2 linked regions of the Neurospora crassa OR74A genome follow. Each later gene encodes a partner of the first gene's protein in a complex. Links are inferred from orthologs where the notes say so. Each region holds a gene or a part of one and is shown in the gene's direction. Other genes may lie near its edges.

Region 1 (4,531 bases):
TTACGCTCGGCAAGAAGCTTACAGCCGCCTACTACGGCAGCGATATCACTTACTCGTACTATAGCGGCTGCTCTACGGGTGGCCGCCAGGGTCTCCGCGAAATCCAAGAATTTCCTGACTCCTTCGACGGCGTGCTTGTCGGCGCCCCAGCCTGGTGGACTTCCCACCTCAACAACTACATCACCCAGCTGGGCATGTACAACCTCCCCAACACCATCGACTCCTACATCCCGACGCCCTTGCTCCAAGTCGTCGCCGATGAAGTCGTCCGCCAATGCGACCCAACCGACGGTCTTCAAGACGGCATCATCAGCCGTCCCGACCTCTGCACCTTCAACTCCTCCCTCCTTCTCTGCCCATCCAACGAACCAGCACCAACCTGCCTAACCAACCCCCAACTCTCCACCCTCGCCAAAGTATACTCCTCACACCACCACGAAACCACAGGCGAACTCATCTACCCGGGCCTGACCCTCGGCTCCGAAGCCCAATGGTGGGCCATCATCGGCAACACCAACGGCCTCCCTTCCCCCTTTGGCATCGGCTACCAGCGTAACTTTCTCTTCGACAACGCCGCCTGGGACTACACCACCTCTTACTCCGATTCCGTCGTCGACCTCGCTGAGCGTCTCGACCCGGGCCAAGCAACAGCAGATCACTACGACATTTCGGCCTATAGATCCCGCGGCGGCAAGATTATTTTGTATCATGGCTTAGCAGACGGGTTAGTACCCACTAAGGGGTCGGAACTTTACTACCAGCGGACTATGCAGTACTTTGGCGACGAAACGACAGAGTTCTTCAAGATGTTCTTGATCCCAGGGATGCAGCACTGCTGGGCTAGTCCGGCGGGGGTGGATGCGCCGTGGAATATTGGCGGGGCGTTCCAGGCTGGTGTCATGGGGTCTGGGGTCTGGTCGGTGCCCGGATTCGAGGGAAGTGAGGAGCATGATGCGTTGGTGGCGCTGAGGAAGTGGGTGGAGGAGGGGAGGGAGGTGAGGCAGTTGGTGGCAACGAGTTGGAGGGCGGGGATGAATGCTAGTGGTGGGGTGAGGAGACAGAGAAAGGTTTGTGCGTGGCCGGGGAAGAGTGTTTTGAAGGAGGAGGTGGTGCAAAAGATGGAGGATGGGGGGGATGTGGATGTGGATGTGGATGTGGATAGAGAGGAGGTGTGGGAGTGTAGGTGGCCGGAGGAGGGTGGTGAGGGGGAGGTTGAGGTGGATTAGGGCGGGATAAGATGAAAAAGGGGTATGGAAAGGGTAAGAATGATTTTTGGTAATGGACAGGAAAAGGAGATGTTTTGGTTGTGACGGTTGAGGAGAAGTGTTGTGTAGGAACATTAGTGTACAGGGTCCTGGAGAAGTACCTTGGCTTTGGGGAGTCGGTGAGGAAGGATAGCCTGTTCTAAAGGCATCTTGTTAGCACCAGCTTGGATTCAATACATAGCTAATAATCATTTAAGTTTCTTCTTTGGCAACTTCATAATACATTGACATATTAATGGTCGTGTTTAATCATCATGTCCTCTGTTCCCTTCGTCTAGAAAACAGGCGGGGTTAGGGTTGGAGGAGACAAGTCCCGTGTAAGTGATAAGATCCCCTGTATAGCGATAACGGGTTGGGAGCTATGACCACCATGAGGGGAGCACCACGTCGGGCCAAATTCCCCGAATCCCCAATTCCTTCCCAATTCCTCTTTTCCTTTTCTCCATCCCGCCTTTGGTCACAACACGAAGGCTTGACGCCGACACCATCCGACCTACAATGCCTCGAATCCCCACTGTCGAACTCAGTAGATATCTACTGACTGGTCACATTGCCTCTCCCGGTTGTCTTCGTGCCCGCGCCGCACTTCCCGGCAAGAATACGCGCGTAGCTCTCGGCGGTGCTCCTCTCCCCTCGCGACAGCTTCAGCCTCGTCAACACGCCCGCTACCTAACGACTGAAACCTCCTTCGCGAACCCCTCAGCCACAACCTCTTCTCCCGCCGCCGCCGCCCCCTTCCGCAAACAACTCAAAGAACAAGCCAAAGCCCTCAAAAAGTCGGGCCACAAAAAGAAAAAGAGCAGCGACAACCAAACAGTCCCCGGCTGGGAACTCACCGTCGGCATCGAGATCCACGCCCAGCTCAACACCGCCCACAAGCTTTTTTCTCCCGCAACCACGTCCTTCAACGACCCGCCCAACACCCATGTCGCCCCCTTCGACCTCGCCCTCCCCGGCTCCCAACCGCTTTTCCAGCCCGCCACACTGATCCCCGCCGTCCGCGCCGCTTTGGCTCTCAACTGCTCCATCCAGCCCGTCAGTCGGTTCGACAGGAAACATTATTTCCACTGGGACCAGCCGAGCGGGTACCAGATCACGCAGTTTTACGAGCCGTTTGCCAAAGATGGCTTCATCACGCTCTACGCCAGGGACGGGATCGCGGCGGAGGATGGGGAAGAGATAAAAGTCGGGATCAAACAGGTGCAGATGGAGCAGGACACGGCCAAGACTACGGCACAACCCGGGGATGTTCAGTGGTTGGATTTTAATCGCGTCGGGGTTCCCTTGATTGAGATCATCACGCTTCCCGAAATCCACCACCCCGCTACGGCGGCGGCGTTGGTGAGAAAGGTGCAGATGGTTTTGGCGAGTGTGGATGCGTGCGTGAGCGGGCTGGAGGAGGGCGGACTAAGGGCCGATGTGAATGTTTCGGTCAGGAGGACGGATGATCCCAGTGGGAAGTTGGGCACGAGGACGGAGATCAAGAATTTGAGTAGCTTCAAGGCGGTTGAGGACGCGATTATTGCTGAGAGGGATAGGCAGATTGAGCTACTGGAGGAAGGCGGGGAAGTGAAGGGGGAGACGAGAGGGTGGAGCTTGGGAAGCACAGAGACGAGAAGGCTCAGAGGGAAGGAAGGCGAGGTGGATTATCGATATATGCCTGATCCGGACCTAGGGCCGGTGGTGATCGGGGAGGATCTGGTGGCAAGGTTGAGGGAGACGATGGGGGTGTTGCCGGATCAGGAGGCGGATCAGTTGATGGAGAGGTATAACCTCAGCGCCAAGGATGCCTTGTCGTTGATGTTGCTTGATGGTGGAGCCAGGATTCAGTACTTCTACAATGTGCTTGATTCCCTTGAGGAACGCCTCGTCGCCGATGGGCAAGCCGTTCCAGAAGGCGCGGAACACGCAACCCTGGCTGCGAACTGGTGTCTCCACGAACTCGGCAAGCTCACCGACTCCGCTTCCTCTTCCTCCTGTTCAGATCCAGATGTCCTCGAAGGCCTAGCCATGACGCCCCTTGGCGAATCACCCCTCGTTCCCTCCTCCTCCCTAGCCGCCATCCTTCACCACCTCTACTCCCGCACCATCACCGCCAAAGTCGCCAAGGACCTCCTCTGGGCTGTCTACCGCGGCGAGATCCCCGAAGGCGGAACAACCAGCTACATTGATACCCACGGCCTCTGGTTCAAGGAGCTGCCAGAGGAGGAATACGCAAAACTGGCGGATGAGGTTATCCAAGGAGAGGAGAAGATATTGGGCGAGTTCTTGAGGTGGAAGCAAGGGAAGATGAAGGCGTATCCCCAGGGAAAGCTGATGTTTTTGGTGGGAAAGATGATGAGAGGGGGGCCGGAGGGGAGGGTGGAGGCTTCTGGGGCGGAAAGGGTGTTGAGAAGAAGGATTGAAGAGGTCTATTTGCCTGAGCTGGAGAAGGGGGAGTAATCTTGCGTTCACGAAATGGGGAATCCCGTAGTTGGGGTCTCGGTACCGTCATCGACTCGGGTCCACTGGCCTCCACGCAAGCTTTCGGACTTCTGATCACGAACCTGTCGTGACCATCTACCACCCACAACAAGGAAGAAGAGCGGTGGGGAGGGGAGATCCATGGCCGTGGTCCTGTTGCTATCGTCACTATAAAGGCACGTCAAGCGCTCGCTTCAATGGACGATAACACCGAAGCCTGGCCCAGGTAGAACAACGTTCGGCTTTACACCTTGCACTCTCGGCAAACGGAACAGTTGCAGACCGTTCTGACCAAGAACCAACTGCATGCCGTTCCGAGCTCGTCGGCCTTCCCTTTCCATGCCATGCGGCGTCACATTCCGATCTTGGCTCGCATTGACTGCTACTTCCCCTCCTTCCCACATTCTCAAGCGACGTATTATGGAGCCATTTCTAAGCTTACCATTGGTGATTATCGCTCTTTACAAGGCAACGACTGGCATAAGATGCTTTCGATTACCCTAATAAAGTTTCATTGGTCGTCAATCGGTCCATTGGCTGGCGCATGACGAGACCTCGGAAACAGATGGTTGTGTACAATGGGGAGAAACGGCCGGCCATGGGTCAAAGCACAACACTTTAGCCATACACTGATGGACACTCAAGGAGGCGAATGGACAGTGATTGCAATATCTCGGAAACAAGTTACCAGGCTCAAACCCCTCTCACTATAACGGAACCAGGCCAGGCGATTTACCCGCTGCCATGAGTCCTGTGTTGCGCTTAACAAGGTAGTATTCGTCTAGATCCAATCAATCAGACGC
Region 2 (4,200 bases), on another chromosome or scaffold:
TTTTCACATGAACCATTTTTTGTTTCCTCAGTCTTGTTGGGGTCTTCGTGAAAACTAGATTCTCAAGTTCCGCGATCACTCCTGGTGGCTTTTTCTCTGCCACTCCGCTAAACTAAACCATCAGCAGCACAAAAGACCGCCTCAAACGAAGTGATCCCATCTACCTCATTTGCCCTCTTCTCCCTTCTCTCTTCATTTGTATCTCGATCCTCCCAGGCATTTGTTTTTCTTCTCCCTCGAAAGATGGCGGAGATCCACGCCATCTGCATCACTCTCGAAGAAATCTCCCGACGACTCAACAATATAAGCAGAATCTCTGCGTAAGTTGAATATCACTTGTAACTATGGAATTCATGCGCTAACTTTTGTAAGAAAACATGCTATTCATGTGCAGAACTGCTCAGCATGGTACAAAGTAAGTCTCTGACTACGAGTGACTTCTCGATATCTGTACGCTTGCTAATAATATCATGCTTTAGCAAAACCCGCGATTGAGGAAATGGTGGGCAACCGCTTGCTTGGCCATCACGGTGTTTGTGGTATTATAGCAAAAAGCCACGGGAGACATTCCAGCAACCCAAAGACACCAAGGCCACCGTCACAGGATCCACACTTCCCACCTCCCATGCAATATATCCCACATCCGTGCAACATACGCAGCGCGTTAACGATGGTCTCTCTTCGGATCGACGGCTTTTGAGAGAGAACAATCACAAGATTGTGATACCTGCGGTCACCCAACTCCTATCCAACATGTGCAATCTGCATCCTCACGAAGTCCTATGGGCCCGCAACACTATTTCCGCTTGGTTCGGAAGAGTGGGCTGGGAAAGTGTCGCCTGGTTGTGGTTGTTTGTTGGGGGATCACTGATTCGGAGGCCATAACATGATCAAGGAACCTGAAGATGGCCTTTTGGTCTGCTATGTGGGGAATTTAGGAAACACTACTGGCCGATTTTGCAATTCTTTCGTCGTTGATCGGCTACTCACTGGTGTTTCCCCATGTTTTTGCCTGTCACTGCTTTGATATGGTTGTTTCTCCTGGGGTTCGGTCTAAAGGGCAGCAACACCTCAACGATAACATTTACCAAATTCCCTGACTACCGGAGCAGACATCATTATCATCCATGAAATTCCTGTATGTCGGCTCCAAGGATGTATTAGCGTTCATTGGAGTTTAGATATTCACACCTTCAGTATTCTTCACAGTAAAAACAGCTAGATGTGATCAGAAGTTCACATGTCATCCCTTTAAATCCCCTGGCAGGTCTCGTGGTTCTCGGTAGGCCAGAGATGTGGAAGTTCGCTTGGAAACACACACACCACTGAAAAGGAATCACTTATGGCTATGGATCAAGCTCCTGACTGGCCAGGGACACACCCTCCATGTCTGTTAGTCTCACTAAAGCAGGAATCTATGCCCCGGAGTAGCTGACCTAGCGTAGAATAATGGGAAACCCTTGACGACTTGTCACTTCAGAGAACGTACGTACTCAACCCTAACCCTTATCAGCTTTACCCCAGCGACATAGGTATTGTCTGGAATCCCCCTCTTGAGCTTTCCACGCTCCGTCCGAATCTCTCCCGATTCCCGACCACGGTGAAGATACAGAAACATGGTGATCCAACACCGCAACCGACCCAATTGAGCGCCGAACAGAGCTGGGTCGTGACCAAGAAACCACATGTCAGCTAGAATTGGGCGGCTGCGGGGCCTATGTCTGCGCCATGTGAGCTCGACAAGGCAAACGTCACCCATCCAGCGACGCTCCCTGAACCAATTCATATCCAGAGGTACCGAACCGGGCTGTGTGTGAACTTGAAATGCACTTATACCTGCTGACAAGAGTCTTCCTGGTCTGTAGTGCAGCAACATGACCAACCCGCGCTCGAACAGCGGCAGTTCCGTCTCGCCGTCAAAGACAACATCGCCACAGTTTCCCCCAATTCCGAGGAGGAAACGCCTCTAACGACGACATGCGGCTCCAACTTCCTTGCCAACTACCGCAGCCCCTTTGAAGCCACCATCGTCAGCCAACTACGATCGCGCGGCGCTCTCTTGGTCGGCAAGACGAACCTGGATGAGTTCGGCATGGGCAGCCACTCGGTACACACGGCCTTTGGAGCTGTCGCGCAGGAGGGGGAGCACGAACAACAAGCAGTCAAGCACTCCGCGGGTGGCAGCTCAGGCGGAAGTGCCGTAGCCGTAGCCACGGGCGAAGCGGACATTGCTCTCGGCACCGACACAGGCGGCTCAGTCCGGTTGCCTGCCGGGTACACGGGCGTGGTGGGATTCAAGCCCTCGTACGGGATGCTCTCGCGCTATGGCGTGGTTCCCTATGCCAACTCGCTCGACACGGTGGGATTGCTGGCGAAGGAAGTAAGGCCCATCGCCGAGCTTATTCTTGGAGGAGCCGACAAGGTAACAAGGGGCCTCTGGGCCGAGCACGACCCGCTCGATCCCACGAGCCTCTCCCACGGGGCGCGCAGACGGTGCGCCAGCCAACGGGACTGCTACACCGGTCCCCTTCCCAAGGACCCGTACCCGCTCAAAAACCTCAAGTTTGGTCTCCCGCTCGAATACAACATTACGGAACTCTCGCCTTCCATCCGGCACAGCTGGTCCGCCGCTGCCGCCAAACTGCAATCCCTTGGCGCGCGCCTGGTCCCCGTCTCCCTGCCCTCAACCCGCCACGCCCTGTCGGCGTACTACGTCATCGCGCCCGCCGAGGCTTCGTCCAACCTGGCCAAGTATGACGGCATCCGGTACGGCACGCGCTTCACGTCTCCGACCGAGAGCGATGCCGCTATTTCGGAAGGCCCAGAAGGACGAGAAGAAGAAGAAGAAGGGATCCTCTATGCCCGCGCCCGCACCGCTGGTTTTGGGGATGAAGTTAAGCGTCGTATTCTCCTAGGCGCTTACACCCTATCCTCTGCCGCCATGGATAATTACTTTCTCAAAGCACAGAAGGTGCGTCGGCTGGTAAGGCGGGACTTTAACCGCGTCTTTGCGCTGCCCAACCCTCTTCTGGACAAGCCGGAAAGATTTGAGCTTAGCGAGTTGCCTGAGACGGTCGGGCTGGAGGATAAGTGGGGGCCTACGGAGGTGGATTTCCTGCTGTGCCCGACGGCGCCAACGACTGCGCCTAGGCTGGACGAGGTGCTGAGTGAAGAGGAGAAGGATCCGGTGAGCGCTTACATGAATGATGTGTTCACTGTGCCGGCGAGCTTGGCGGGGTTGCCGGCTATCAGTGTGCCGATGAGGGTTGAGGATAAGGAGGGGGCGGGCATGGCTGGGTTGCAGCTTATTGGGCAGTATTGGGATGATGCTAGGCTGCTGGCTGTTGCAGAGACGGTAGCTGATGTTGTCAGGGAGGAGCTATAGATGGCTCGAATTTTTGATGCGGTATAACAAAGACCCAATGGTCTTATGGGTATATTTGGGTTTGTTTACATGATTGATACCCCTGCATATCCATTATTTACGTCCATATTATTAGCAGCCCATAAGACATAGAGAGCAGTCCGAAACTCTCATACAATACCATCCATTTCCAGAAACATACCTAGGAAAAACACCAAAAGAACCCCCCCTAACAACTCCATCACCTACCTCCCTGGGTATCCGCCAACACTTCCTGTCCCACTCAGTTATGGTCAACCAAATGCCACTCAAATACCTTCTCAAACACTTCCTTCCCATTCCCCACAATCGTCTCTCCATGACACGGCACAATCGTCTCAAAATCCCACCCATCAATCCTCCGTACACTCTCGTTGAACCCTGCCCGATCCCCCCGACTCATCGCGTACCACAAAAACCTCTTAATCCCCTTGGCCTCTCCCTCGGTGTTATTCATCGCCTGGAACAACCTCCCCAGTAAACTCCCGTGCGGCTTTTCCGCCTCGGGAACCTTGGAGTACTGCTCAATGGCAGGCAGGTTGAACATGAGATCGGCCTCGATCAGGACTTTATCAGGCTTGTAGTAGAACACCAGCTCCTTGTTGGGGTGCGCGTCGACGTATTCATACTCAAAGTCGGCATCAAAGGCGTCGTCGATCTTGATACTTTTTTTGTTTTCCTTTGTAAAGACGACGGAAAAGGGCTCGTGCCCGATGCGTTCGTCGTCGGTCACCTTGGCCCGCTTTTCCGGAAGACCCTCGGGACCAATGATTTTGGCGTCGGGAAAGGCCCGCGCC

The links.
Region 2: the proteins of NCU09025 (region 1) and NCU00660 are in contact, whole or in part, in a crystal structure (PDB 4N0H), measured with the Saccharomyces cerevisiae proteins. The link is inferred for Neurospora crassa OR74A from reciprocal best matches to the Saccharomyces cerevisiae genes PET112 and HER2. Residues at the interface, in NP_009473.2 of Saccharomyces cerevisiae: Tyr66, Ile69, Ala70, Leu71, Pro72, Gly73, Thr74, Gln75, Pro76, Val77, Arg105, His107, Phe109, Tyr110, Gly111, Pro114, Gln115, Gly116, Tyr117, Tyr123, Leu177, Asp297, Arg299, Tyr300, Met301, Pro302, Pro304, Glu305, Pro307; in NP_014021.1 of Saccharomyces cerevisiae: Val56, Leu69, Phe72, Pro75, Phe76, Arg176, Phe177, Gly178, Val179, Ile180, Gln184, Ser185, Met211, Lys212, Asp213, Pro214, Thr215, Ala291, Glu292, Ser295, Asn296, Ser298, Arg299, Tyr300, Arg304, Tyr305, Leu319, Phe320, Arg324, Asn339.

The regions. Positions count from the first base shown.
Region 1 is NC_026507.1:366,841-371,371, reverse strand, and holds the start of NCU09025 (glutamyl-tRNA(Gln) amidotransferase), read left to right. Parts: upstream 1-1,731; 5' UTR 1,732-1,763; coding exon 1,764-3,707; 3' UTR 3,708-4,531. Other genes in the region: NCU09026 (feruloyl esterase B), read left to right, coding at 1-1,226. UniProt on the Saccharomyces cerevisiae protein: Allows the formation of correctly charged Gln-tRNA(Gln) through the transamidation of misacylated Glu-tRNA(Gln) in the mitochondria. The reaction takes place in the presence of glutamine and ATP through an activated gamma-phospho-Glu-tRNA(Gln).
Region 2 is NC_026501.1:7,652,581-7,656,780, forward strand, and holds NCU00660 (glutamyl-tRNA amidotransferase), read left to right. Parts: upstream 1-1,575; 5' UTR 1,576-1,685; coding exon 1,686-1,794; intron 1,795-1,865; coding exon 1,866-3,385; 3' UTR 3,386-3,592; downstream 3,593-4,200. Other genes in the region: NCU00659 (uncharacterized protein), read right to left, coding at 3,648-4,200.